4 linked regions of the Rhinolophus ferrumequinum genome follow. The protein of the gene in region 3 interacts with the protein of the main gene of each other region in a pairwise test. Links are inferred from orthologs where the notes say so. Each region holds a gene or a part of one and is shown on either strand. Other genes may lie near its edges.

Region 1 (6,918 bases), on a different chromosome or scaffold from region 3:
CCTCACCTGGTTTATTTAAGCAAACTCAATATATTTTTGGAATTTGCTGGGGGCCAATTAAAAATGGATTGCGGGCTGCAGTTGGCCCGCGGGCCGCAGTTTGGACACCCCTGCTCTAGAGCATTTGAGATTTTGCTCCCTAGCATATGTCGTCGGTTTGACTCAAACAAACTCTTATAAAAAGTCTCTACAGGTTTGGACGTTTCTTATGTCAACACCACTTATAAGAGGTCCCCAGTGGAGTCAAATTCATAGAGACAGAAAGTAGAATGGCGGTTGCCAGGGGCTGGGTGGGGGAGGACGGAATGGAGAGGTCTTGTTTAATGTGTAGAGTTCGTTTCTGTGAGATGAAGAGTTCTGGAGGTTGGTCGCACAATAAGGCAAATATACCTCCTAACACTACAGGACTGTACACTTCTAAGTGGTCAAGTTGGTAAATGTTATTTTGTCACAATTAAAAAAAAAATAGAGTGCACCTTTTCCTGCCCCGTTCCTGGGCTGGCCCCACCCTAGAGACGAGACTGCTCCGTAAGGGCTTATCATCAGAGTAAATGAGCAACCAGGCCCTGGGGCATCAAGGAGGAACAGGACTGGAGAAACGAAACTCACTCAGGCCTTGGGTGCTGTGGGCCAACAGGTCAGGGCAGTGACAGGGAACTTGAACGGGCAAAGAGCGGGGCCTGAGCATGAGCCTGCTAGCTGCCCAGGAGCCTAAGGCCAGTGTGACTGGGCTCTGTACCACTTAATTGATGTGACCTGGCACTGGGGGACCTCGGAGAGTGACATACCCCTATCCCTGCACTTTGGAACAAACCGATCAAGGCCCAGAGAGGGCTCATGACTGGTTCTGGGTTACCCAGCAAGTCAGCAGCAGAGCCAGGGCCTGAAGTGTAGTCCCTCTGACTCTAGAGCTTCATGTACGTCATCTCCCGTGTACACCGCGCCCCTCTTCTGACAATGTGGGTGTAGTAGAGGGTCCATCGGGGACTGGTACGTGAATGCTGACAACTTAGAAGACTGAGCTGAGCAGTGAGGGTGAGGTGACGTCTGGTGGACTGGTGCCCAGGGACCAGTTACCTGCAGTGCGGGAGAAATTCCTGCCTCCATCTTTGGGTGGTGGGTCTGTGGAGTCAGAGCCATGTCCATCTGGCCCCGGAGGGGGCCCCTGTGGTGGCCTCCCAGGAGTAGAACCAGCAGAGGATGACTGGGGGGATTCATCTTCCTCTGGAAAAGAAGCGGGGTGGGGGCACAGAGAGGGGGCGGGTAGCTGTGAGACCAGAGGTCGAGGCCCCCGGGCCCCGAGGAGGGCAGAGGCCCAGAGGCCCCACAAAGCACCTTCTGACATTTCCTGATGCTCGCGAGAACTCCGATGTGGGAATGGGACATCAGTGACAGCAGTGCTGAGGTAATAGGAACATTTGGAGATGAACCCAGGTACAAAACAGAGAGAGGGAGACCTGACCACCAACTGAGAGCGGGCAGGTCCCTCACTTCACCAAGGGGTAGGCTGAGGCCCAAGATGGAAGAGACTTCCTCAGATACAATGCACCTTAGTAGCAGCTCCAGGCTAGAACCCAGACCTCCTCTGCCTAGGGCCATGGCCCCCAGGCCCTGGGCCACCTTACCTTCCAGAGCTTCCCTGAGAGCACTCACCATCTGACTGAAACTCCTGCAGGAGGGCATCAGCAGCAAGTCCTTCATTCTCTATGGCTTTAGCTGACATCTCAGAGGCAGTGTGAGCACACTAGGTACACAGCCTAGAGTTACCACTATTTTTCCCAGAAAGGGTGTGTGAAAACCAGAAGAGCTGTGCCTGATTTGTGATGGATTGTGGTATGGATGGGGACACCTCTCCATTGCCCTGAGCCCTGGCCCCTCTGTCCTATAGCAGTCTGTGGGCCACTCCCAGCACCCCCCCCCCCAAATCTGCACAGACTGCAGCTTTTTCAGTTAAGGACTTTGGCTCCCTGATCTCCAGGATTCTATTCATCTCTAATATGTCACCTCTGTCCCCTGACTATTGCCCCATACCCAGCCTAAGTCTTAGGGCTTGACAAAATCCTGGGTTGGGACAAGCCCGGTTGCTCCCAAAGTCGCGGGGTAAATGTGGGCTCAAACCCCTTCCCAGCACACTCACCTCTAGTCACAGTGACAGCAGCTCTGAATGGCAGCAAAGAGGGATGCTATGAGTGGAGTCCTGGTGCTCCCTCCCTTCCCCATTTCCCGGGCCCCTGCCTACCTTGAGGTAATTGCAGTTTTGGAAATCCTGTGTGTAGTATGGCTCCTGATGACTCCAGCAGGCATATATAGTTCCACCCTGGATGACGTCCCACCCACGTGGCAAATGAGACAAATGAATCATTCTTAATCTAGGCTGGTAGACCTAACCTTTGCCTTGCAAATGTGAGGATTGGGGGAGTGTGGGCTGGTCTACAGGATAATCTAATCTCAACACATCCCAATGCACCATATATAATACTCAGTTTCTCTAATCCTCTAATGGTGGCCGCCTGGTTTGCATGGCAACAGGAGAAAGCTTGGGTTAAGTCAGAGGAGATGTCCACACAAACCAAGGCATATTTAGAACCCTCACCCACAGGGAGAGAGCTAATATAATCAATTTGCTAATTTTGCATTGGTTGGGAATTCTGGTGGATGGCCGCAGACTCCTTTGGTAGTTGCCTTGGGAGTTGTTTAGAACACAGAGGACGTGCTGCTACTGCATTAACCAAGTCACTGTATTTCAAGGGCAATCTGGCAACCCTGGCAATGTGCCCCCCACCCAGGCAATGCAATGGCCACTCTATATATTCAATGTGCTATATTTACTGAAGGGTTAGTTGCTAGCGCTCGTCTCTGAGCTAGGGCATCAGCTTCCTGATTGCCAGGCAGTGTCAGTGCTTTATGAGCCAAGACATGGAAAACAGTAAGGACCCAAATGTCTTTCCACGTATCGTGATCCCACAAAGGCTTATTCATAGTCATCTATCCCTCTGTTTCCCATTGTCCAAGCCACAGGGTTAATCCCTTTAGAACAGCCCAACTGTCAGTGCAAAAGGTTAATGAATGACCAGGGCTCCCCCTCCAAGGTGTGTAACTGGCCCAGAGGAGACAGGAACATTTAACCTGCCATGAGGGGGGTCATGCGGCCCTTCCTTCTCACTCTCCCATTGAGGACTGCTCCGTTCCCGTTATCAGATTTCTTCAGGCACCACTTGGGCACAGGCTCTATGCTACCCAGACTCTTGGGGACACACTGTCAAGTTGCCCCAAGAAATGTGTTAAGCTCTGTCCCATGGTGGCTCCAAGCTGGTGGGGAGGCTCACTAGATCTGCACTTGGTGAATTCCCCCATTGTCCTTTAGGACTTTCCAAGGTCACCAAGCAGTCTATGAGAAAGGTTCCCCAGATGGTCCCGCGACACCCACATGAAAAGGTGATTATCTATTGTAAAGCTAATTTCTCTGCATGTAACAAAGCAGCCAGTTTAGCTTGGTGATTAAAGCCTGGGCTTTAAAGTCAGGCGGACCTACCCTAACCATCATTGAGCAATAGGAGAGGCATGAAAAAATTGCGGAAAATGGCACCTCCAACATAGGCTGGTTGGGTTGTAAATTAAATGCTGAAATTTTGCAAGGCCCCAGGCATACAGTAGGTTTAACACGTCGACAGTCACTGCACTAAAACTAGACCAAGAACACAAGAATGCTTACGTTTCCGTGCGTGAACTAGCGTAGAGCCCTTCTGGATGTAGCACAGAGCCTTCCCCCTGCTGCGTAATCCAGGGAGGGCCATCGCCGGCGAAGCCAGATTTACTGCCCCCAGGGCGGTGCACTACCGCACTGCACAAGTCCGCGGTCGAGCGGCAGCGAATCAGGTGGCGGCGTCTAGAGTGGGGGCGGGACATCCTGCCGCACCGCGCCCGCGTGCGCGAGTATAAGCCCCGCCCCGGAACTGCGGTCGGCGCTGCAGCCGAGGAAGAGCTGTGGCGTTTTGTAAGGCGGTTGTCCTGCCGGCGTCTGTGGGAGCCGTAGCGGCGTGTGCTCACTGTGAGTACCGGTGCTGGAGCGGGGGCCTGGGGCCGGTACCCGAAAGGAGCTGGGGGCGGGCTCCTCGGCGCCCATGTCGGGCCTCTTCAGCTCACTGGGTTCTCAAGTCCAGAGAGGCGGCTGCCGGCCCGGTCAAGCAGCCTGTCGACCCTGCGCCGGGTCCCCTTCTGTGGGTCTCGGGGCTCGGAGGCCTCGTCTTTCCCGCTCCGTGCGCCTGTTTATGCGTGAGCGGAGGCGCTAGGGCCAGTCACAGGGCTGGACGCTGCGAGCAGGGGCCCCGCTTGCTCTGCAGGTCGCGCTCTGCAGGTCGCCCTCCGCGTCCCGCCCATGTGCGTGACCATCCCCAGTGCCTCTCATCACTGAACTCCAGTCGTTGGTACTTGGGGCGGTGAGGTTCGCTGGGTGAACCTTCCTGCGTGCCGGCGTGCTCAGCCTGCGAGGCGCCATGCTGAGCGGTTTTTGACGTGCGTCACCTTTTTGTATTAGCGTAAGCGTGCCCGGAGACAGAGCCTCATCACCTGCGTTTTACAGACGAGGACACAGGCGCAGAGAAATCAGTACATTCGCCACAGACTCAGAGTTGGCGAGTGATGGGCCGGCTTTGAACGACGGTTCGTTCACCTTTGTCTTTCTCACAGGGTCTGTTATTTTTCTTAACCTTTCTGAAAGGGGAGAACAAGGATCCAGTTCCACTCGAACTGTGCTACTGCTGAAATGGTTTTTAAATCACTTACAATGTAATGAAAAAGCTGTACGGGATGGATGGGCTTTAAGCCATTTGGCAAAGGCCAGAATGGTGGCGCAGGCATTTAGATGTTCTTGGGGCAAGACTTGAGGAGGAGAAAGCTCTGTTCACTTTGGATAAAGCTGGCCTCCTCAGCCGCCCTCAACGCCCACCCCTGAAAAAAAAAACAAAAAAAAACCCAAATTCTCACTCTGCCTTCCATGTGGCTTGGGTATCGCAGCCTTTATCCTCCATGCTTTCCATAATTTTATTTATTTTTCTAAAACATTTTGTGACTTAGGTATTATTAGGCCCCTCCTTCTCTCAAAGAGATGAGAACACTGAGGTTCAAAGAGGATTAAGCAGGGTTTCCCAAGGGAACACAAGCAGTTAAGTATTGGATATGGAATTCAAACCCCATCTAGCTCATAAGTCTTTGCTCTCTATTCTGTTCGAGGCCAAGCTATCTGATTTGTGGGTGTATTTCTTTCCTTTTTTGATCTTCTCTAGCTGGGAGCATCAGCTCTAGCTGGGAGCATCAGTGTTCAGAGCCATCTTTGCAGGGTCTGATATCCTGTAGGCTGCTTAGAAAATACTTGTTGCGTCAGAATCCAATGCTTTTCAGTTGCCAGTCTAATCGAACACCTCTCTCCTTTTCAGCAACCATGAAGTTGAAGGACACCAAATCAAGGTCAAAGGCACCAAGCTATGGCAAATTTCAGACAAAGGGAATTAAGGTTGTGGGAAAATGGAAGCAGGTGAAGATTGACCCAAATATGTTTGCAGATGGACAGATGGATGACCTGGTGTGCTTTGAGGAACTGACAGATTACCAGTTGGTCTCTCCTGCCAAGAATTCCTCCAGTCTCTTCTCAAAGGAGGAGCCCAAGAAGAGAAAGGCACAAGCTGTTTCAGAAGGAGAGGAGGAAGGAGATTCTAGCTCCTCAAAGAAAAAGATAAAGTTGAAAAAGAGTAAAAATGTGGAAACTGAAGGAACCAATGCCCAGAAAGACTTTCAGGTCAAAGATGCTGAGCCAGAGCCCCTGGGAGATGGTACAGTTTGTTCTGATCCAGAGATAGGGGAGATGGCATCAGAAAGCCCAGCCCAGGCTATTCCAAAAAAGAAGAAAAAGCAAGGGAAAAAAAAATCAGAACCTTCTCAGGGTAGTACTCCAAACGTGCCGAAGAAAGCAAAGACGTGGATACCTGAAGTGCATGACCACAAGGCAGACATATCAGCTTGGAAGGACCTGTTTGTACCCAAGCCAGTTCTCCGAGCACTCAGCTTTCTGGGCTTCTCTGCACCCACACCAATCCAAGCTCTGACCTTGGCACCTGCCATCCGTGACAAACTGGACATCCTTGGTGCTGCTGAGACAGGTAAGGGCACCCTTATCTGGCCAGGGCAAGATTGCTTCTGGATTGAGCCTGTGGCTGCTAACAGGCTGGATGGCTGGGGAGAGAGGCCGAAGCAATGGTAAATGAAGGTGTTTTAGAAGCCAGCCAGCTCTGGGTTGAAATCTGCCATTTCCTAATTGGTACCCTAGGCAGGTCACTTTATCTCTGTGTGTCGTATAGGCACTATTATGAAATGGAGATAACAATACCTACTTCTTTTGCTGTGTCGGTTAAATGTAAATGCTACAGCAAACTGAAATTTCCACAGTACATTGTGAGTGATCTGCAAATGGTTTTCTTCCTGTTCTTGGGCCTTTTTTAAATGGCTCAGAGGGGTAAACCAGGGCTAAGATCAGCCCTCTGGAGAGGTAGATCTTCATTAGTATAAGGAATAAGTGTCCAACTCTCAACTGTTGTCCGAAGATAAAAAGGGCTGCTTTGGGAGTTGGTGAGTTTATTGTCATTGGAAGGATTTGAATGTGTGATAAATAACTATTGGGTGGATTTTGTAGGCAGATTTGGGCATCAGGTGATTGTTGGGACTAGGCATTGTTTAAAGTTCCCTTATTCCCTGGGCCATCTAAGACTTTGTGAAGCAAGACAGGTTGAGTCTCCCTGGGTGGACTAAACTGCTGACTAGGGGGAGTGGCTTGTACTGCCTGGAACTATTAGTCCAGCTAGACCAGCAGTAACTAATAGAAATGTATATTTCAGTGCCAGTGAGCCACAGATGTAATTTTAAATTTCC
Region 2 (6,891 bases), on a different chromosome or scaffold from region 3:
CATCAATTTTTACTTAACTCTTATGAAAATGGGCTTATTACAGTTCGCAGCATGGAGTATTATGTCTAAAAAAATACCAGATAATAGACACACTTACTCCCTGAGGGAACCTTGAACTTAGGAAAAACAAGTCAGCTCCACACCTGCATAATTTTCTTATATGGCTACTCTGCTCAACCTTCATGCCTACTTAGCTTTCAATTGTCTACAACCTCTGATTGCTGGTGTTGCCTTAAAATGATTAATTCCTGGTACTTAAGGAAATCTCCCTACCCCTGTATTAATAACCAATATGGTTTCCTTAGTTAGTAACCAGGTGTTGCGTTACATAGATAATATGCTAGAGAATGGAAAGTGTCAAGTATTTTCATGGTACAATAAGTAAACCCATGAATTAGAATTAAGCTATCAATTAAGGGTAGTAATGGAATTAAGGGCTGGAAAAAAGTAGACATGAGTATGTAGAGGGCTATGAAGTTGAGAGAGGGGAACCAAAGCAGAGAACAGAGTATTTTTAAATACCAAATTTACATATAGCCAGAGACATAAAACACATAACGTGTAACACAGCAAGAGGCACAATAATAAGTCAGTTTTGGCAGAATGGCAGCAGCAGTGAGTCAGGTCTTAACCATACAATTATTATAGTATGAACATCAAAAATTCACTGCTTTCAAGAGTAAATAACAAGCAGATGGACATTTTCCTCTCTGCTCTTTATATAAAGTTTACCAGCAGTTCAGCTCAAAGTAATATTTTAAGGGTAAGAAGCTACAACGTTATAGTTGTAGTGGTTAAGAGCCAAGGGCTTTTAACAGTGGGTCTGACCCTGGCTCAAATTTTGCCTCTGTCTCTTGGTAGCTGTTTCAGTTTCCTCCTATGCTTACTGGATTAAATAAAATACTGTTTGTGAAGTGGTACTTTTTCCAGAGTAACAGTTTAACTATATACAAGTTTCCAATCATGTTTCCTTTAAACTCATTTAGCTGTGTTTCAAACTAAAATGTCCTATCAGCTTAGAAGGGAGTCTCGTTATTTTAGTCAACACGTAAGGTCCATCCTCTCCCATTGTATAAAACTTTCTCTTAACCAAGTCCACAGTTTGCCATTAACTCTTGTCTTCTACTCCCTCCCTATCTCCATTTGCTTAACTTTCCATTCAGTCAACCGACTTCCTTGGAGTATTTATTCTAAGTCTCTAAAATGACTCCATTTGCTGAAGCAAATAAAGTTTCGGCTACCTTACTGGCGCTCCCAGCCGCGTTTGGTAGCTGATCACACACAATCCCTGAGAATGTCCACTCCTGACTTTCCTGTCTCCTCTCCTCTCTTTCCTAAGTACTGTATCATTTCACATGCAGAGCCAACTTCCAAAATGTGGCTTTATCACCTCTTAATTTTACGCTGGTACATAACACCCTTACAAATAAACATATTGTCCGGTACAACAGAGCATCAACCTTTTGCCTTTATTAGAATACTGTGCAGACACTAAGGCAACTTACTTGTTACTTGGACTACCAATAGCAAAGGGCTTTAAAATCCTGCATTCCTCGATTATGTCACTCACTGAAATCTCACTATTTTCCCAGTGAATAACTTCATATTAATATAAAATTGTCAATGACAGTAACTTGAGTATTGTATAAAGACTGGATTTATCTTTTCCTCAGAATCCTGCCAATGGTCTTACCATTTTAAATGTCACCAATTCACCTGTGCACTAAGGTAAATATCTCAGACATCTCAAAGGTGAAAAGGACTTTAAAAGGCATCGAATTTAATCTCTTTCACAATGAAGACCAATGTTGCTACCATGCTGAACTCGGCTTCTCTAATATGCATACGTCATAGGGCTGTAAAGATTAAAATGAAATAATGTAATAAAGTGATAGACTGGCACATAGAAAACACGACAAATGCTGCTACTTCATCCCTTTCACAAATCGCAATCGAAGTTCATTGGTCATTTTCTATTTTTCACCGGGTCTAGTCACTACCTGTCACTTTACATCATTAACTTGACACCTTGGTCCAGTGGAGATAATTCAGTTATCCTGTAGATGGCATGGTATTAAAATTGGGCGGCCGTAACAAAAATACCCACCACAAATACCGCTACTAAGTAAGTAAAGGAGAACCCATGTATCCCCCCCCGGGGCGGGGATATCAAAACTTCACAGCGTCAAGATATAGGACAATTTTCCTAACCAAGTACACCTTTTTCCTTTTGACAGTAAGTTTGTAAAAGTGGGTCTACTGAACACGCCGACAGAAGGCTTTCAGACCGACTTTTATACGAATACAACGAGGCCGAACTTAACATGCTAGGGTAACCCGCCCGCTGTCCAACCCTCCCACCTGTCTGTCCGTCTGTCTGTCCGTCCGTCCGTCCGTCCGTCCCACACTCACTCTCATTCACAGCAAATCAACCTCCGAGCGAGACCCGTCGCCCCGGGATGCCTTCTGCTTCCCCAAAGAGACCGCGTGGGGATACGGAGGTGCTCCATCCCAGGCGAATTGCTGGGTGAGAGAACCGCTGGGAAACACGTGTGGCCCCGGGGAGCGCGGCTCAGCGGGTTCCGGCGGCGGCAGACACCGTTACGGGCGCCGGCCCCGGGGCCCCGGGGCCCCGCGCACCAAGGAGGCGGCGGGCGGCTCCCAGGGCAGCCGAGGGCGGCCGGGGGGAGCCTGACCCGGGGCAGAGCGGCGACGGCTCGCGGGAGGACCCCGGGACCCCGTCTGGCCCAAGGGCGTCCCCCGATAGGCGGCGGGGAGGGGAGGGAGGGCTGGCGGCGCTTTTCTCTTACCGTCGGCATTGACCTCGGGATCGAAGCGCTGGCCGCAGCCCCGGTTGTAGCACAGCAGGGCCATGTCTTTCCCCACCGGTACCAGTCCGGCCCAAAAGCCGGCAACCGCAAGACGCTGCGTTGCAACCACCAGTCCGAAGGCTGGGGCGGCTGCCGGCTTCCGGAAAGGACCGCTTTCGCTTCAGGAACCTTCGCGAATTTTCCGGTCGCGCAGGCGCAGAGGTGAGGGGCAGAGACGGAGGCAGAGGCAGGAGGCGGGGCTCCGGCGGGGTCCTGTGGGTCTGACGCCCGCGGCCGGCGGCCGGGGCCGGAGGTGGAGCGCCGCTCTTCGTAGTGAGAAACCTTAAGGGCAGGAAGTGAAGGTAGCCGAGGCGTGGCCTGCTGTCCAGAGTCCTTCGCCCCTCGTTGGCTGTGGGTCTCTCGCGAAGCAAGATGCTGCTGTCGCGGCCCCGCGTCCGAGCATGCCTCTTCCTTTGGAGCCGGCTTACGCAGCCTTGGCAATGTTTGTCCCCTAGCTGCTGGAGAGTTTCAGTGCGGAATCCTGCAGTTTTCCCGCATCCTCTGCGTAGAACGTGGTTGCTTAGTAAAGGATGAGAGGAGTGTTGGACGACTCTCCTGTGTGAGTTTGTCTCCACTGTCCTGATTCTGAAGCCCTGGAGAAATGAAGGCACTGGAGGCAATTTTAACAACGAATTGAGGTCAAGTCACTGTGAAAATACAAAGCATTTAGAGGTCAGAATATATAAAAAACGTACTGATCAAACACAGTGCTAGAAATGGTCGCTATTGCTTTAAGACCTTGGGGTAATTGTTGCTGTTTCCTATTAGCTTCCATTTAATTAATTTATCGATACTTAATTTTCTAATCATGGAACCTTACTAAAGGTTTCACTAAATGCACTGTAAAAAGTATAACACTAACAGGCACACACAACACTAGCTCCAACTTGTATACTTCCCAAACTTGGGGCACTCGAAATAAAAGCAAATGCTTTTAGATAAGTATACAGAACAACCTTAAAATACTCACTATCAGTAGTTTCTATGTAGAAATAGAAAGTTACACGATGTTTCCAGTAATCCCAACCAAGTCTGTTAGAGATTGGCTCACAATCCTTCAACTCCAATAAAAAAGCCTTCTCATTTTTCCATATTCCCCTCTTTTCTTTATATTTAGAAGTGTTAATTTTTTATGTAGTAATCCCAACATAGATATATACAATGTTGTATCGCCTTCCTTTAACCTAACATGAGTATTTTTTTTATTTTGTTTTATAATCACGAATGATGAAGTAGTATTCTGTTGAATAACTGCACTATAACCATTCTTCTTTAAACCTCACCAATTTTATTGTACATATATATGCTTATTTATTGTATGTTGTTTTCTTATTTTAGGTTTTCCCCTCACGATAATTACTGAGAAGTGGCAGTACTAGAGTAAACAGCATAAGCCTTTTAAAATAATTTTCAAGATTTTAAAGATATATATTGCCAATTGTTTCCAAAAGATGGTACAAATTTGCAATTTTACCAGCTGTGAATGCGGGGAGTAGACCATAGAAATTAATTTTACACAGTTAGAAATGGAGAGATGGAGAAGCTTAGAACGTTTTGATTATGGCTAAATCCATTGTCTGGTATCCTAGCATCACTGCAACATTACTAGGATTATTAGCAAATGGTTTTAATGTTTCTTGTCATTCTTTTCAACTATAGCTTTTTAAAAATCAGAAAATAATAAATGTTTATAGTAGATAATTTGAAAATGTAGAAATATATTAAGAACAAAATCCACAATGATTCCACCACCCAGCAATAAGTATTGAATCACTAAAATAACTCTTTGATAAATTCATTTCCATTGTTTCCTCTCCCCACCCCAGGCATTTATTGGACTATCAGGTACCAGGAATACCATGCTCTGTTTAAGAAACTTGGTGGTGGTAACATACATAATGTATATAGCCTTTACATTCAATTCCTGACAGCTCACCCCCAACACACACAAACACATGTACTGTTACATATCAGTATTTTGAGATTATTCATGTTATAAAAGCAGTGTTATAGTTAAGAGTGGAGTTTTGGAATCACACCAGGATTCAAATCCCAGATCTGCAATATAGAGCTAAAATACTTTAATCATCTCAGAACATCCCTTGGCTTCAATTATCTCTTGTGTAAAATGTAAATAATAATTTTGTATAGAGCATGTAAATATTGCTAGCATTAAAAGTATTTAAATAACATGTAAAGCTCTTACTGCATTGGCTTGCCCATGGTAGAAGCTCAATAAATGAAAACGATTTTTTATATAAAATGTTCTAAGGATATAGTCTGACTGAATTGTATTCAATCCTATTGCTACAAATACCAATATTTTCTTAGACAATAATGGGCATGTCTCTGTTTTTGCCATCGAAGTGGTTTCTAATATTTGTCTTTTATAAATCATAATATGATAAAAAAGACGTCAAGAACTATATGCAAGATGTTCAGAATAGCATCATTTATAAAAGTCAAAAACTGGAAATAATCCAAATATGAATTAACTATAAAAAGGTATGTCCAAATCGTGGTATAGCCATACCATGTAATACGATACAAAAAAGGGAATGAATGAACTACAAATAAAATGAAATGGATGAATTTCAAAAACATAATGTTGAATAAAAAAGCCAAAGGGGTAAAAGATAACTTTAGTGTAATCCATTTATGTACGTTTCAGAAACAAGCATAAACAAGTTATTATGTTTAAGAATGCCTACTAACATGAGAAAGCCATAATGAAAACTAGAGAACTTATTATCATGACTATCAGGATAATAGTTCATTTTAGGGAGCTGGGAGGAAAGGGGAATGTTTCTGAGGTACTGGTATAGTTCATTTCTTTAGGTGGGGGATGCTCACTTTGAAATGATTCATAAAGCAATGCATTTATTTTATGTACCTTTCCGTCTTATTATTCCCATATCACAGGAATCTGAGGACTAGATACTTAAGTAGTTGACATTCCCAGTAGTAATGTAGCTTTTAGATATAGCATACCTTTTCATACAAAACATTAACAGAATAATCAAATTAGGTGCAGATGGTGGTAGATTGGTTGACTAGACAAATAACTTGAAACTCTAGCTTATTTGCAGGTAGGGGCCTTTGGAAGCTGGATGGAAGTTGGTAAACAATCAGCAAATTACCATCGTCCACCTATTGTCCCAAGCCGGAGACAAGGCATAGCCAGCAATGAGCAGTCATCTGGCATCTTCTTTCCTGATCAGTTGTGAGTCTTGAATCCCATGTAGGATTAGTTATAGACCTGACCTGGCCACCTATCTACATCAGGAAGTCCAGTCTCAGAGCTTAAAAAGTCATCTCAATTATTTTGATTAGTCATGTCATATTGGACATATACCTTTACCTCCATTTTTTTCCAGATCCCACTAAAATTGTGGTGAAGGAAATGTATACCAGGGGTGCCAAAAATATGTATACACGACTTGTATTCATCTTTTGTTACTGGTATATATTGAGTATTGCAATTTTAATACACTTTTTCCTTTCTTAAAATGTGTATACATTATTTTTTTTTTGGCACCCTCTGTATATAGCCCCACAAGGACAAAGAAATTTGAATAGGGTACTGCAATAGACAGATTATTTTGGCAAGTTTAGTTTGGTTTAATTTTCTTTATTTTGGTATTTAGGAATGTTTGTGTTTTTGTTCAAGTGGTTTCCTGTATACTAATACTTTCATATAATTACCTCTTTCTTTTTCTTACTTAGGCTTTCCTATTCATTTTGTCAGATATAATTCACTTTGACTTTTAGTTGTTTCCTGTAAAGTAGTCAATGTTAATCTCATTTTCTTTCTTCCTTCCATGTCCTCTCATTTTATTTATGTTTTTTTCACTTTGTCAGAGAATGTAGTAGCATTTATGTACTAGTCTTCCACACTGATGCCGCCCTTTATTATTTATTACTTAAATATATTTATTATATACATTATATGTTAAAATATAAATGTGTATTCATCAAATTTATTTATTTATAACATATGCATTAAAAATATATTCATTGC
Region 3 (7,257 bases):
CCCACGTCTTCAATTTTGGGCTTATCATCATCATCTTTATCCTCCTCTTTCTTCTCACCTTTCTCTTCCTCTGCTTCATCATCACTGATTTCTTTCTCTCGTTCCTTCTCCAACTGAAAGTACCAAAGACAATAGTTTCAGAGTACAGAGCAGCAGGGATCACAAAAAACCAGGAACCACGCAATTCTCCAGAGCAGACATCATGTGTTGACAGTTTCCAGCCCATACTCACATAAAGGGTGATGGGGTACCCTATGAACTGTGAGTGCTTCTTCACCACTTCTTTGACCCGCCTCTCCTCTATGTACTCTGTCTGGTCTTCCTTAAGATGGAGGATCACTTTGGTACCCCGGCCAATGGGCTCACCTACAAAGTCAATCACAATGGAACATTTAAAAAAAAAAAAAAAGAAACTAAATGTAGAACTGTAGTGAAAGGAAACTGCTTTACAGGTAGGACACTCAAGATGTCTATTTAAATTTCCCCTGGATTCTAAGCCAGACACTTTTACAGTTAAGCCAGCTTACCATGGTCAGCTCGTACAGTGAAGGAACCCCCGGCAGAAGACTCCCAGGCATACTGCTCATCATCATTATGCTTTGTGATCACAACCACTTTTTCTGCCACCAGGTAGGCAGAATAAAAGCCAACACCAAACTGTCCAATCATGGAGATGTCTGCACCAGCCTGCCAAAAAGTTTTAAAAAGTCAAAACAAATTTCGAAAACCACAGCAAGCCAAAGAACATTAGATAAACACGGATGGTGTGTGCCTAGCTAAAATACCACACACCTGAAGAGCCTCCATAAATGCTTTAGTACCAGACTTGGCAATGGTTCCCAGATTGTTTATGAGATCAGCTTTGGTCATGCCAATGCCAGTGTCCACCAGAGTCAGAGTACGTTCCTGGGGGTTGGGGATGATGTCAATTTTCAGCTCTTTACCACTGTCCAACTTGGAAGGGTCAGTCAGGCTCTCATAACGTATCTTGTCCAAGGCCTGGAAATACAAATTTTATTTTTACAATGCTGCTTTCTTAAAGCACAACTCTTCATCCAATAAAAAACTTCATTTTTTACTCCTCAATAGCTTCAATTCTGAATACCCTTTGAAGTTTCAAAGCCACATACAGTTAGTTACACTATCCCATCTATCCAGAGAGTAAGACAAACCTGTTTGGAACGCTAGGTTTATCCCCTTCAATAGCAGGCCCCACAAAAATGCCAAACCACCCCTCATCACTTTTCCGGATTGCTAAAAACACATCCAGCCCCGAACACCCCTTCCCCAGCACTCACATCAGAAGCGTTACTGATCAATTCCCGAAGGAAAATTTCTTTGTTCGAATAGAAAGTATTGATGATGAGAGACATAAGCTGGGCGATTTCTGCCTGGAAGGCAAAAGTCTCCACCTCCTCCTCTCCATGGTGCACTTCCTCAGGCATCTAAATAAGAAGAGTCAAGAATTACAAAAGAATGGAATGGCCCTGAATTTAAGACTCCCAAAACAAACCCCAATCACAGTGAACACTGGGAGACAGTTGGTTCAAACTGCTCTGAGTGAGGTACCACCTAGCCATTCCCCAAGAGGCTTTGCTTTCTTCAAGATTTCAGACTGCACCCTTAGTCGCAAACCATTTGGGGGCTGGGAAGCCAACACGTTCTTCAACGAAACAGAAAAGCAGGTTTTTTGGAAATCAAACTACTGTTAAGTGTTCCACGGACCAGCAGCCTCAGCATCACCGGGTTACCTTGTTAGAAATGCAGAATCTTGGCCCCCAACCCACGTATCTCAAGTTAAGAATTCCAGGAAATCCACACGCACGTTTCAATGTAGAAATCACTAACCACAGTTTTATTACCTCTTTTTGGTCCAGGTGAAGGAGAAAAACCCGGTCACTCGTTTTATGTTAATGGCAATAATGTGAAATTGCTTCCCAAGTAGGTACCTCCTACCTCGCCCGAGCACGGGATTGCTGACTCACGTGGTAGGGGAGGGTAACCCGAGATCGGTGGGATACCCGCCGGGAGGGGAGGGGGACTATTAAGACAAAGAAGCCGATAAAACAAAAGCACAGTCGTGACCCCTCGGCTCACGTGACTCAAGTGTAGGCCTAAACACAACTAAGATGGTGGCCGTGGTCTACCGGATCGACCCTCGTCACTACCGGACATGCGTCGGCCAGGGCCACGCGAAAACGGGGTGCCGCCGCGCAGCCTCCCTGCGCTCCAGCATTCGGGCACCAGGGCGGGGCGCCGGGCTCCAGAAGCTTCCAGAACAATCTCAGCTCTCGGAGAAGGGCGGGGGTTTAGGAGCCCACGAATCTTCCAGAACCCGCCTCCTCCCCTCCTCCACGCGAATACAGGAAAGATCTAGAAGGACGGTGGGCCAGTAGAGGGCCAAAGCGTTCCTTATCGCAGACCCTCACGGACTTGAGAAACGCGTCTAAATAAAACAGGTGGCACAGCCAGACCAGCACCAGGCTGTGCTGAGTCACACCGAGCGCGCACACCCACAACCCTTGCGGACCCTCTAGCGCCCCGTAGCCGCGGTCCGGAAATGGAGGGGCAAAGATGGCAGCGTCCCGGGCCGGCGCAGCCACCACGTGCAGTAGCCCACTACCCCAAGGCCACTCCGCGGCCCACCTCGGCCAAGGCTAGTCGTTGCCCGGGGGAAACTCCGCCGCCTAAGCATACAAGGCAAAACAAGCTCCATTCGAGAACCCCCTCCCACCCACCTAGAAATTGTGGCATCCCAAAGGCAGCCCAGCACAACAAAATCGGGCCTTTGGAAGGGAAAAGAGGGACGAAATACGCTCAGAGACAGAAAAGGCTGAAAGAGAAAAGTGCGGCCTTACCTTAAAGGTGAAGAGATGCAAGTACTAGGGAGAAAGGTGGACACCGACTGTGACCGGCTCACACACCGCTGAAAGCGTGCGTGGGGGTAACTCAAGAGAAGGGCTGTGTGACCCCCTAGTCGCTCTATATAGGGCGAAGTACAGCCCTCCCACGGATCCCTCCGCCTTAAAGCAGGATGTCTGTCAGCTCCGCACCTGCTGCCGCCCGCCCACCTTGACGTCATGGCCAAAATCGGGGCGGAGACAGTGAAGAGCGGGAGCAGTGGTTCTCAGTGTCTGCAAGGGGCGCACACTTTTTTATTGGCTTACGTATCCCCATCTCCGCACTTCACGGGCGTGACCCCACCAGAATTAGAGGTTGGGTGGGAATGCTTAGATGATCCAGGTGGATTTAGGGTCGAGGGTCCCACTGATTTCCCTTAAAACCTGTGGGGCAGGCCCCTCCACTGCTAACTCCTGGCCTTGAGGGACACCTAAAAAGGGGCGGATGGAGGTGGCCAATCACTCCGACCTCCGCTCCCAGTCTAGATGGACCTCCCTCTTAGAATCTGCTCTGCACATTCCTACATCCCGATAAGGGGTTTTCTCTGGGGCGGTACAGAATTCCAGGCTGAACTTCGGGCAGCCGCCGGCTCCGGCTCTCCGGTGGTTGTGGGGTGGTGGGCGGGGGGAAGGGCCAGCGTTTCGCAGCGGGGCGTGGCGCCGGCCCAGACTGGTGGAGGGACTCTTTGCGGCGGAAGGAGAGACAGCGGCAGTACTGCGACGCTTCCAGCAGTTTCCAGACCCCAATTGGCGGCCCCGCCCTCGCCCCACCCTCTTCCCTCGAGGCTCCGCCTCGCCCGCTGCGGCCTGGGCGGTGTCTCTGTGGCGCCGCGACAATTCTACCAGAGTCACTCGGGAGAGGGTGGGCTGCTCCAATCCCCTGTACTCTAGAAGGCCGCCTGCGGGACCCTCTATCCAACTTACCGGGTCCACCTAGCTTGGCACTGGGTGGGATGGAGCCCAAAGGGAGTGATTGACTGCTCCTGTCCCTCATCGATGACACAGCACCCTGCTCTGCAGGAGCTGCCTGGAGCGAGCCGAGATAGGTCGCTTCGGGAGGGACTCTCCCTCTGGCTGGGACCCAGCCTCTGTTGCTGACCAAGTGTGGAATGCAGAGACGTGTTACCTCCCTGCATACCGAGGTGTCATTAAAAGATACAGTGAATGTTTAAATTTAAAAAAATGTGTTGGGGCTGGCAGGTGCCTCAGGTGGTGGGAGCGTTGTACTCCTAATGCCCAGGTAGTCTGTTGGATTCCCACGTGGGCCAGTGAGCTGCGCCCTCTACAGCTAAGATTGTGAACAACGGCTCTCCCTGGAGCTGGGCTGCCTTGAGCAGGCATGAGCCGCTGTGAGCTGCCAACTGATGACCCCATTGCCTCAGCTGGGGGGAGCGCAAGGCTCTTAATACCAGCATGGGCCAGGAAGCTGTGTCCTACACAACTAGACTGATAAACAACGGCTTGAACTGGAAGGGGGAGAGGTGGAAAGGGGGAACCGAACAGGAAAAAAATTTATTATAGTAAAAGACACATTGCCATTGTCTTCTTCCTCCATCATGACAACGCTCTGTGTCACACATCGCTTCTGGTATACGGCAATTATTGTCAAATAAAGACGTTATGGTGTGTCCTCATCCACCTTATTCACGGGATCTGGCACTGTGTGACTTCTGGCTCTTCCCCAAAGTCAAAATGACTATGAAAGAAAAACATTTTGAATCGATTCAGAACATCGAGGCAGCCACAACAGCGCAACTAAAGACGCTCACCAAAGAGGACTTCCAGAAATGCTCCAGAAAGTGGCCAGAATCACGGGATAAGTGTGTTCAAAGCAAGGGGTATTAATGCCAATGTGTCTTTTACTGTAATAATTTTTTTTAAATTTAAACATTCACCGTAGTTTTTGATCACACCTTGTAAGCACATAGAGCTGTTTCTCAATCTGGTTTTGTTTCTTTTCACCCTCCTTCTGCAGCTACCTACACCTGGGGAGGGGAGGGTCTCCAGGGGACCTGCAGAATGGCAGGGCCTTTTGGAGACCACATGAAGACACTGGCCCATAGCGCCCACTTCAGACGTCCAGAACCAAGTTGTCCTCCTTCAGCTGTGACGCCTTATGCCCGGAGAGCTGCAGGTTGCCTTGCCTCACCCGGCTCTGCAACTTTGCACGCCCTCCAGCTAGCAAACTGTCTTTGCCTTTCTAAGGCCTTATCTTGGAAGGCTGCTGGACCCATAGCCTCTCCAGGAAAGAATGGCCACTCCCTGCTCTGTGACCTTGTGACTCACCAAAGAGGACGTCCATCAACTCCCTTCCTGACCCACTCTGTCTGTCCCTGCAATGCTGGGGAGGTGTTCCCCCAACACCACCTGAAGTCCTCTGTCGCCGGCCTTGGTGCCCAGTTTTCTTTCCTTCCTTCATATTTTCTTTGTTCGTGTGTGGAATTCCAAAGAACAAAGGACCCTGGCTTTCCTTGCCTCACATCCCAGACCTCATCACCCCTGCCACCAACACCCCAGTTTCATCTCTCCTGACCCATCTACACCCCATCATGCTGGTCTGCGAGAAGCCTGTGGCTGGGAGATGTAATAGAGTATGGGAAAAGGCATTGTGCTGCTTCCAGGAAGGCTCCAAGAGTCTCTGTCCTTGATCGAAATCTCAAACTAGGAGCATAGTCCCTTAACACACCCCCTTTCCCTCTGGGCAGAAGGGACCTAGCTAATTACAAATCTGTTTCCTAGTTCACAACGAGCATTCACAACATCTCACAGTCCTGTGAAGAGGTAAAAGTGAGTCTGCATATTCTAGGGATTGGGAAGGGAAGGCTTCAGGGACTACATCAGGGTCAGTCAGCTCAGAGCCTTTGCTACGCTAACTCCCTTGCTGCAACCCTGCTACAGAAATGGAGTGGGAAAGCTGTCTCCCCTCTCAGGACACAAGTCCAAAGCAGAGCGGCAATCACTCCTGTGAATCACTATCAGGACCAGAGACTACTCAGGTTTTCTAATGGGAAAAATCTCAAATCTTGAACCAACACAGACATTCCAACGTCTCTTCTGAAGCCTTCCAAGATGTCTTCTCCCACTCGTTGATGCTCAGGAAGACCCCACTGTGAGCCTCCCCTGGGGATGCAGAAATGCGTAAGGACAGGGAGTCTTTAGCTACTGGGGACTGCCCCAGGCCAAATGTGAATCATAGAAGTATGGGAGCAGGTCAGAGACTCCTAACTCAGCCCAGGGAAGGGGGCAGGCTTAGGGCTATGGCTAGCCAGGCCACAGTGCAAGTCTAAGAGAAAAACAAGGCACAACCCTGACAGAGGGACCATAGTCCACGAACCACTGAGGAAGGCAGGAAGAGCTGAAAGTGACTCTGCAGGCAGGAGTCAGGTTTAGAAAAGGCCCCAAATGCGATACTAAGAAGTTCTGACCTTGACTGAGGGTGAGAGAAGCCACTGGCCGCTATTAAAGATGGTTTAAACCCCCCCTCCCCCGATCTCCAGAATCCTACTCCCAGTAGTACTTGCAATGCTTGATGTTCCCTAGATATCCATTATTCCTGACCTGGCCTCAAAGACCCAACCCAACCTTTTGCCATTGGAGGGCGGCGACATGAAACAAGACAAACTATGGCCTGCAGCTAGTGAGCCTGTTGCTTGTTTTTGTATGGCCTATGGGTAAGAATGGTTTTTACATTTTTCAATGGTTGGAAAAAAAATCAAAAGATAATATGTTGGCATGTGAAAAATATATGAAATTTAAATTTGTGTCCACAAAGTTTTACTGAAACACAGCCATGCTCAGGCTCATTTGTTTTCATGTTGTCTTTGGGGCTTTCGTGGTGTAATGCCATGGTTGATAGTTCTGACAGAGACCACATAGCTTGCAAAGTCTAAAATATTTACTCTCTTACCTTTTACAGAAAAGGTGTGCAGACCCCTGATTTAGCTAACGCTAGGTGAGGTCTTGGAGGGAGCCTGGAGACTCAGGCTGGGCAGAGGCCTCCTGCCGCTGCTCAAACTGAGAGATCTCCTAGTTGGGCAGCACCACTGGCATTTGAAGGGCATGTAGGAGGCTGCTGAGGGGTGCTCAGATAAAGGGCAATGGGTGAACAAAGTACCCAGGGGGCATCAGGACATCAGGGATTGTACAGCATGGGGAATAGCTCTGGACCCTTAGCTCTCAGAACAAGCTCAGCACCTGCCAGGTGTGTTCTGTCAGTTCTGGTCCTTTCCAGTTCCATAGGGTTTACATCTCTGAATTCCATATGGAATACCCTGGACTGACATCCTCACAAAGCTATAGACTTGATGTTCAGATACTCGTACATTAGACAATTGAGCAGGTCTGCACGGCCAGCCTG
Region 4 (8,015 bases), on a different chromosome or scaffold from region 3:
CAGCCCCCCTCCCCCCGCCACATTAAACTCCTATCTTCCTTCTAGATTCTGTCATCACATCCTTAAATTTTCCCTTATCCCTTCCCTCTTCACCCAAGTTATGCATACTTCTATAGTGGTGTTGTCACTCAACGCTCAGCTTCTTTGGGGCTAGAATTCAATAAATCTTAGATGAATAAATGCCTCTCTACTTCATGGAACAGACTAGTGGTGGTCAAGAACTCTGCGCCAAGCTGCATGCAAGGCCCATCCATACTTCTCATCTAAGTCTTCTGCAGGGAAACTTAGATTTCTACTGGGGCAAACGTGGCCATTGTTGTTACTCAGATGTTTTAGTTACTCATTTAGCAGGTTTGGAGCCCAAGCACCACATGGCCCTAACTAACCAAGTAAAGTATTTATTGTTTTTTGCTAACTTAGAATCCAGAAAAAGTGTAGACTAGCTATGCTTAAGGGGCCAGGAAAAGGAGAAAAATGAAGCTATAAAATTTATATTGTAAGAAAAGACAAAGATATACTAAGAAAGGAGATATGGACAAATGGATCTTGCATTTTCGAATCATGTGGGAGCAAATTCTCAAATCATTTCTCAAATCAAACACAGAAATCTTATCTCCAAATTCTAAAAATGATTTGTTTAAATTCTTCTCCACAGACAACATTTGGCCACTTGAACAAACTATCCAACATGTATTGAGATGATTAAATAAAGTCATATTTTATCTGTGAATATATTGAGGTTTCAAAGGGGTATTAAACATCAATTTAATGAACATAAATTTGAAAAAGGAATTGTTAGCATTAAGATCTACTAATGTAACTTTACATTAAAAAACACACACAAAAAAAAACCCTTTCAAACTGACCTCTAAATTCCATACTGCCTTTACATTAATTGGATCTCAGATCTATACATCACATATGACGTTAAGATGTCTAGAGTCCACATATTTGGTAAAATTAAACCAAAGCTGTTTTTATAAAGATTATAAAATGTTTATGAATTGAATTAAACATTTGATTATTTCCAAATATTTCAATCCAAAACTTAAGTCCTAAAGCCAGTAAGACAAATAAGGTTATAAACATATGAATGGATTTAGGATTAGAAATCACAAGTTTTAACATCATTCAAAAGTAGTTTCAGCCAAATAAGGGTTTACGTTACATCACAGGATGGACAGTGCAGTACGTTGGAAAAAACACTGTACTAGGAGCCAAAACTAGGGATCTAATTTCAACTTTGCCACTCACTAGCTGTATGGTCTCAGGGAAATCACTTTTAATGAAGGAGATAAGCCTCTTCACTTCTAAAATTCCTTTCAGCTAAATAAGCTTGTAATTCCAAGTGTACAAGTAAAACTTAATACAGGTATTTTTAAAATTGAGTTTCTTAGGCTATTTTTGTAATTCAACCACAATGCACTGAAATTCTTCTATCCTCTCCATATGCCTTCAAAATAACAATGGCAGCTGCTGTTCGTTCTCTCTGTAACACATTCATTATGTGGTTATATAACATATTTTGTATATAAAGATGACACTAGTGATCCATTATTAGTGGGTGACTACTGACATATCAACTCTCACTCTGTCCTCCTAAAAAATGTCTTGCACTTTCCCAGTGACTGGCTGGCCAAAGTACAGTCTGTGGTTATGAAACAGCATTTTCTGTGTGAAGCCAACCCCCATGAGTTGGGCATTCAATCGATGACCCTACACTTACTGGCAAATGATTTAAATCGCTCATTTTCATTAACAGCTAGCAAGATGAGTTTAGAGAAAAACTGTATTCATTCAGTTAAGCTCTTAGGAACCCCATTTTGCATGAAACCTTGAAAGCAGACACTCAGAATCCGTTTCATTTAACATATTGGTGTTTAGTCTGTGATCCTGAAATATACTTCCAAACACACTCAGGTTAGGAGAATAACCAAGACAAGGTGAAAATAACCAGGACATAAGCAATCCCTAAGATAGGATCCAAAAAATCCTTAAATGATGTATCACATGTAGATAAGTTTCAGAGGAATGAATGCTGGTGTGAAAACCATGAGTAGCATCAGGAATCTTAGGAAGAAGTCTGAGGGAAAAGGCAAACGTGTGGGTAGATGTTTTTACTGGAGAATGAAGTGAAGCAAAACTAAAACAACCGTTAGGGGTAAAATGGTCACACGAATAGGAGGATTTACGCCAGCATCAAAAGCGAGGTTTAAAGAATTTACTTAGATGTCAAAAGTCAGTGTAATTGGATGAGAAATCTTTTTAAGTCAGGAGCTCGGTGAATGTTGAAATACAACCATTCACTGCTCCTATCAACTATGCACAAGTATTAGAGTCTTCAACAGAATAAAACGCTCGGATAAAAGCACGCACAAGAGGACAAAGGGTCAATGTTAATAACATGAGCCGCCCCCAATCTGTCAGGATGGGGGTGGGGAAACGTCTTCCAAGGGTGAGATGGAATTGGCCACGGTGAAAAGGTGTGCGAGGAGGTGGAGGTTGGAAATACATGGCCAGCCTCTCTTCGAAGTCCTTTGAAGATGCTACAATAGCGGTAGGATGGCATCAGGCCCCCGATCCCCACGGCTGAAGTGGAGGCTCAGAACAGGGCACAGAAGAGGGTCGCAGAGACCGGACTCTAGGGGCCTGGCAACGGCATTTCTCCTTCCCCTAGCAGAAAGCGGGCCCCCTCTCACCTGGGCGCCGCCGCCCGGCAGTTGTGGGCAGCGGGGAGAACTGGGGGACACGTCCAAGTCATTCTCTTCCTCTGCCTCACCCTCTGTCCGAGGGAGGTTCCAAGGTCCTGGCGGCGGCCATGGCTGCTCCATGTCCGGCTGCCCCAGGCTCTATAACCCCCACTGCCAACAGACTTGGCGTCAGTGAATCCAGCTGCGCGGAGCCAGCCGCCCCAGCGGGCCGGGGCCGTTACCCAGAATTCCTCTGCTGGCCGCGACGCCGACGCACGCTCCACACTAGCCTGGGCCGCGCCACCGGCGGACGGCGGAAAAAGACGGACTCCACTCAGGACGTCACTTCCGGCTTGGAGGGCGGGGGCTTGTGAGGTGTGTCCCGGGGCCTCCCTGTAGCGGGTGCGTTTGGAAGTCTTTTAAAACTCCGTTCTCTGAAGGCTTTCAACGCTGCCGACTTACCCTAACGGCACTACGGGTCGTGTAGTATTGAATACTTGTTGTCTAGTGTTCCCTACGCTGTAAATAGTAGTGGTGGTGCTCAGACCAAGTGTCCACTTGTTTAAAAACTGCAACTCATTGCTGTGCATTGATACTGTAAGCCAGTATTTCTGAAGCGGGGTTGGGAGGGAAGAAGGGAGAATTTTGAAAAGCAAAGCCAACTTCCCTGTCATTTCGAGTTACAAGCAACAAGAACACTACAGAACTTGGCTAAGAGGAGGACGCCAAAGATGAAGAATTGGGCCAAGCACCAATTTAAAAAATTAAGACGAGTACCAATAGCGAACGTACAGGGAGGGCTTCATATAGTTCTACATATCTCGTTTAATCCGAAATATTTGTTCTCTGTCCCCCTTTGTAGAAGAAGAAATAGACCCAACATGCCAAGGTCACACATACTAAGGGGAAGAACTATGATTAGCCAAGGGAATCTGACTTCAAATCGTGCGCGTTTAACAATCAGGTATTGCTGTCTTCAAAGAGTCCTAAAAACAAGACGCCATTTTTTCAGTCTTATTTGGCAGACTTTTGAAGTTATTCAGTACTGAGTGTTGACAAGATGTGAGGAAATGGATTGGCAGACTTTTGAAGTTATTCAATACTGAGTGTTGACAAAATGTGAGGAAATGCGGTTGGAGACAATGTCGTTTGTGTAACTTTTTGGGAGGGGCACTTTGAGTATCAGAGAATTAGGTGCTTTGATTCAGCAGTTTCACTACCAGGAAATTATGCAGCAGTTATTTTTGCACCATTATGCAATGATTTATCAACAAAGATGTTTACTGCAGCATTTTTTTGTGGCAAAAAACCAACAAAAAAAATGAAACTAATTGCCCGTCAATAGAGAAACTTAAATGAATTATGGTTTATTAATACAGTGGGATGTTAATCAGTCTTTAAAAAGAGTAAAATAGATATAAATGTGCTGATACAGAAATATCTCCAAAATGTGTTGAGTTAAAAAAAAAGTTGCAAAATTAATTTTGTGTGTGTGCATATTTATGGAGAAAGAGAATGATCCAATTTGTGTAAAAACGTGCGCGCGCGTGTGTGTGTATACACGTATATGCACATGTATATGGAAACCTCCTGGGGAGTAGACAAGAAATGTTAATGATTACCCCTGGTGGGTAAGGCTATGAGGAAAGGTTCTGAGCATCTTTACTTTCCATTCGTACCTTTCCTGTATTATGCTGTTTGAATATTTTCCAATGCATGTATGTTATACCTTAATAATTAATTACAAATAAAAGTTGAAAAGCACGGTGCCTAAACCTTTTGAGCTTATGAGTGAAAGCCACAGAAGAAAATAGGACAGCAGCTAAAGCACAAAGGAGAGGAGGCAAAACCAGTTTTATTCACTAGTAGCTTTCATTTAAAGTGACGTCTATTACATTATATTAAAGTGACGTCTATTACAAGTTACTTTAAATTACTTTAAAATATTTCTCAGAAATTTCCAGTGATGTTACCGTATATATCATCGGCCAGAACAGGCTTAGGTAATTATGATTCATTCCCTGGATCTAGATGCATTGCCATCCAAGCAAAACTGGGGTTCCATTAGCAAGGAAGAAGACCTTATTGTGATATTAGGTACTCAAATCACATCGTCTGCTATAATTGTTTAAGTTCTTGTGATACCTAGTGCCAGCCTAACTCTTGGGTGTCATCTCAACCTCCTCTACTGCCTTCCCAGGTCTCTCTTAGTATGCTCATTAGCCTCCTTTCAGTTCCTCAAACATACCAATTTCTTTCCTGACCCATGGCCCTTTACATTCGTTGCTCCCTTTGTCTGGCTCTCTTTTCTCTTAGTTCTTTTAAAAGTCGTGCTAGTGGTCATGCTTTTCTTTTTAGATCTTAGATCAAATGTTATACCATTAGAGAGGCTGACCTGCCCATTGGGTCTAGATTAGGTTCTTATTCCTTCTCCAACCTGTAACCTATCTCACCCCCTGGATATTTCCTTCCTAGCATTTGCCATACTATTATTATTTATGTTCACTTATTTATTGTATTTCTTCCTGCACTAGAATGTAAGGTCTACAAGAGCATAGATTGTTTCTTGTTCACCCTTGTATACCTCCATTGTCCAGAACGGTACCTTGCACATAGTAGGTACTCAATAAATACATGCCGAATAGATAAATAGGGAACTAATGCATGGAAACAAGGATAAAAGGAAAGGTGTAGGATTAAATACAGACAGAAAAAGGTAAAACCAGGATGGAAATGGGTATATTTTGGTATGAGAAGAAAGGGTGGATATTAATAATATCAGAAGTAGCCTCATCTTAGCTATTGCTGACTTTAGCTATTTCTAAATCCTGTGCCCAGGCACAGTGGACACTTTTTACAAGCCTTGGAACTAAATCATACTATTTTCTACTTTCTTATATTGCATAAATATAATTCCTTGGAAATTGCTTTGGGTCATAATTGGCCTAGTACTCCCATGGACATAGAACTAACCAGCTGAAACTTAAAAGAGCAAATTAGTTTTTCCTGAATAGAAATTACCTTAAAATGGAAATATATGGACTATATAGTCCAGAATGCCCAAGGGCAGCCCTTTTGGAAGGGTTTGTGTGGTATTGCTAAGTAAGTATGGAGCCTGCAAATCTCAGTGAGTCAAAGCAGAAGCCAAAGAGTAACATATGACTTTGACACGTGAACTCAAATAAAGTTTGTGAAATACATTCCGTGTGTGGGCCCAGATCCCAAATGACTTAAAGATTGTTAAAAGCTGTTCAGTAGCAATTTAATTCCTTCCTTGGAAGCATTCCTGCTACTTGGAGAAAATTCTCGAGAAGTATATATACTTAAAGAAACACTACTCAAATTGCCAGCTCCTATTTGGACATTCATGCAGAGAGACCACTATTCTTGTAATACAGTGCTTCTTTTTTCCTTAAGTGGGTTTCCCAATGAATTACTTGTCAAGTATTATGTACCATAATAATTTTCTTACGTCATCTGCATTTCAGATGAATAGATCCACCATATTTTGCTCTTTAAATGTATGTAAGACTTCTATTGAAGGGAATTTCGTAGTGATGCCACCAGCAATCCTCTTGATGGGTTATTATAGGACAGAAGGAGGTCCCCATAAAGATATGATTACTCTTATGACTTAAGTATGTGTTAAAAATTTTTAAGTTGTTATTATGAATATTTTTAAATACACAAACGCATAGAATTATGGTAAACCCCATATATCTGTCACTCAGATCAATTATCATGATTTTGCTACATTTGCTTTATCCATTCCTTTTATTCATTTTCTGGAGTATTTGAAAACAAAATTTTAGATATTAGATCATTTCTACTACATACCTTAATGTGTATTTCTAAACAATATTGTTATTTGCCTTACATAAACACAAGGATATGGTCATACCTATCAAAATTACTTGCTTGGTATTATCTAATATTCAAACCATAATCAAATTTTCCTCGGAGTCTCAAATATTCTAGTTAAGTTGGTTTCTTTGAATCAGGGTTCCAACAAAGTCCACATATTAGATTTGGTGGCCGGGTCTCTTAAGTATCTTTTCATCTAGAGTGTTTCCCCTTCACCCTTCCTTTGCTTTTCAATGTCATTGACTTGTTGCAGACTAATTGGGTCAGTTGTCCTATAGAATGTCCTATGTTCTAGATATGTCTGTTTGCTTCTTTGTGGTGTCACTAATACGTTTTTCTATCCTCCATATTTCCTTTAAGTGAAGTTAGCCCTATAGCAACACTGCTCAACAGAAGTTTCTGTGATGATGGAAGTATTCTACTTGCACTACCCAATACAGTAGCTACTAGCCACATGTGGCTATTGGGCACTTTCAATGTGACTAGTGTGAGTGAGGAACTGAATTTTAAATTTTATTTAGTTTTAGTTAATTTATATTTATATCTTATGTATAATAGTGAGATTTCACCTTGTCAGAGAGAGTGGCCATAGGTGGGATATGTAAATCAGTGTACCTGTGCTAATGGGCACATGCAGTGGGTGACAACTTAGGTAATGGGTATAGAGTGAGGAAAGGCAAGGACCAAGAAACATTGCTTAGACAGGTAGAAGAGGATGAATAGAGACAGAGAAAGAATGGCTAAAGAATTGGAGGGAAACCAGAAGAGGGCTGTGCTCTAGGTGCCAAACAAGGAGAGTCCAGTTATATCCAGGAGAGTTCAGTTAGGCAAGGAGAGTCCAGTTAAGGCTAGGGAGAGCACAGGATTTGACATTGTGTCTCTAGGATGTCTGTGTTGCAGGGGCAGTGATATGGCAAGGTACACCTGGATTCAAGTGTGGCTGCTTCCCTTCAGCTGTGTGGCCGTGGGCGAAAGGCTTTGTGGCCTCAGATTCTGCATCTGTAAAATAGGGATAAGAGCATCTGCTTCAAAGAGAGGTTATTGTGGGCATGAAATGAATTAGCATATGCAATATGCCTAGCACTTCGCAGCTTCTTAATATAAGTCAATTCTTCCCTTCCATTATGTCTCTGATCTTATTTTTTTAGTCTGTTTTGGTTGTCACTCTCCTTGATATCTTACCCTTGGTGTTGGTGAGTTACTTGTGAAGGTCAACACGGGTCCTTTCCCCATATATCACTGTACGGGTCTGGGTGCCAGCAAGCTGTTGTGAGCTGACACATTAGTGCTCTGGATACAGTAGGGAGCCAAGCACCCACTTGTGTACCTCTTGGTACACAAGGATTGTGTAAGGACACAATATACCCTCCTTCCTCACACTGAGTTTTTCCCTTCCATGGAAAGGAACTCCAGTTACCTAAATAAATACCTCATTCTCACATCTTTCTGCACTTGCATTTT

Evidence for each region. The genes of interacting proteins can lie anywhere in the genome.
Region 1: the proteins of HSP90AB1 (region 3) and DDX24 interact in a two-hybrid assay, tested with the Homo sapiens proteins (2 studies listed by BioGRID and IntAct, with this or other methods). The link is inferred for Rhinolophus ferrumequinum from reciprocal best matches to the Homo sapiens genes HSP90AB1 and DDX24.
Region 2: the proteins of HSP90AB1 (region 3) and CHORDC1 interact in binary tests that used the Homo sapiens proteins (3 or more experiments, as listed by UniProt). The link is inferred for Rhinolophus ferrumequinum from reciprocal best matches to the Homo sapiens genes HSP90AB1 and CHORDC1.
Region 4: the proteins of HSP90AB1 (region 3) and CDC37L1 interact in binary tests that used the Homo sapiens proteins (3 or more experiments, as listed by UniProt). The link is inferred for Rhinolophus ferrumequinum from reciprocal best matches to the Homo sapiens genes HSP90AB1 and CDC37L1.

The regions. Positions count from the first base shown.
Region 1 is NC_046289.1:9,015,249-9,022,166, forward strand, and holds the start of DDX24 (ATP-dependent RNA helicase DDX24), read left to right. Parts: upstream 1-3,905; 5' UTR 3,906-4,048; intron 4,049-5,432; 5' UTR 5,433-5,437; coding exon 5,438-6,152; intron 6,153-6,918. Other genes in the region: interferon alpha-inducible protein 27-like protein 2, read right to left, coding at 1,078-1,224, 2,240-2,317, 3,713-3,794. UniProt on the Homo sapiens protein: ATP-dependent RNA helicase that plays a role in various aspects of RNA metabolism including pre-mRNA splicing and is thereby involved in different biological processes such as cell cycle regulation or innate immunity.
Region 2 is NC_046294.1:61,980,534-61,987,424, forward strand, and holds the start of CHORDC1 (cysteine and histidine-rich domain-containing protein 1), read right to left. Parts: upstream 3,014-6,891; 5' UTR 2,875-3,013; coding exon 2,811-2,874; intron 1-2,810. UniProt on the Homo sapiens protein: Regulates centrosome duplication, probably by inhibiting the kinase activity of ROCK2. Proposed to act as co-chaperone for HSP90. May play a role in the regulation of NOD1 via a HSP90 chaperone complex. In vitro, has intrinsic chaperone activity.
Region 3 is NC_046286.1:13,470,851-13,478,107, reverse strand, and holds the start of HSP90AB1 (heat shock protein HSP 90-beta), read right to left. Parts: upstream 3,019-7,257; 5' UTR 2,859-3,018; intron 1,999-2,858; exon of another isoform or gene 1,863-1,998; intron 1,446-1,862; coding exon 1,299-1,445; intron 1,000-1,298; coding exon 793-999; intron 688-792; coding exon 528-687; intron 367-527; coding exon 233-366; intron 114-232; coding exon 1-113. UniProt on the Homo sapiens protein: Molecular chaperone that promotes the maturation, structural maintenance and proper regulation of specific target proteins involved for instance in cell cycle control and signal transduction. Undergoes a functional cycle linked to its ATPase activity.
Region 4 is NC_046295.1:31,683,232-31,691,246, forward strand, and holds the start of CDC37L1 (hsp90 co-chaperone Cdc37-like 1), read right to left. Parts: upstream 3,014-8,015; 5' UTR 2,832-3,013; coding exon 2,700-2,831; intron 1-2,699. UniProt on the Homo sapiens protein: Co-chaperone that binds to numerous proteins and promotes their interaction with Hsp70 and Hsp90.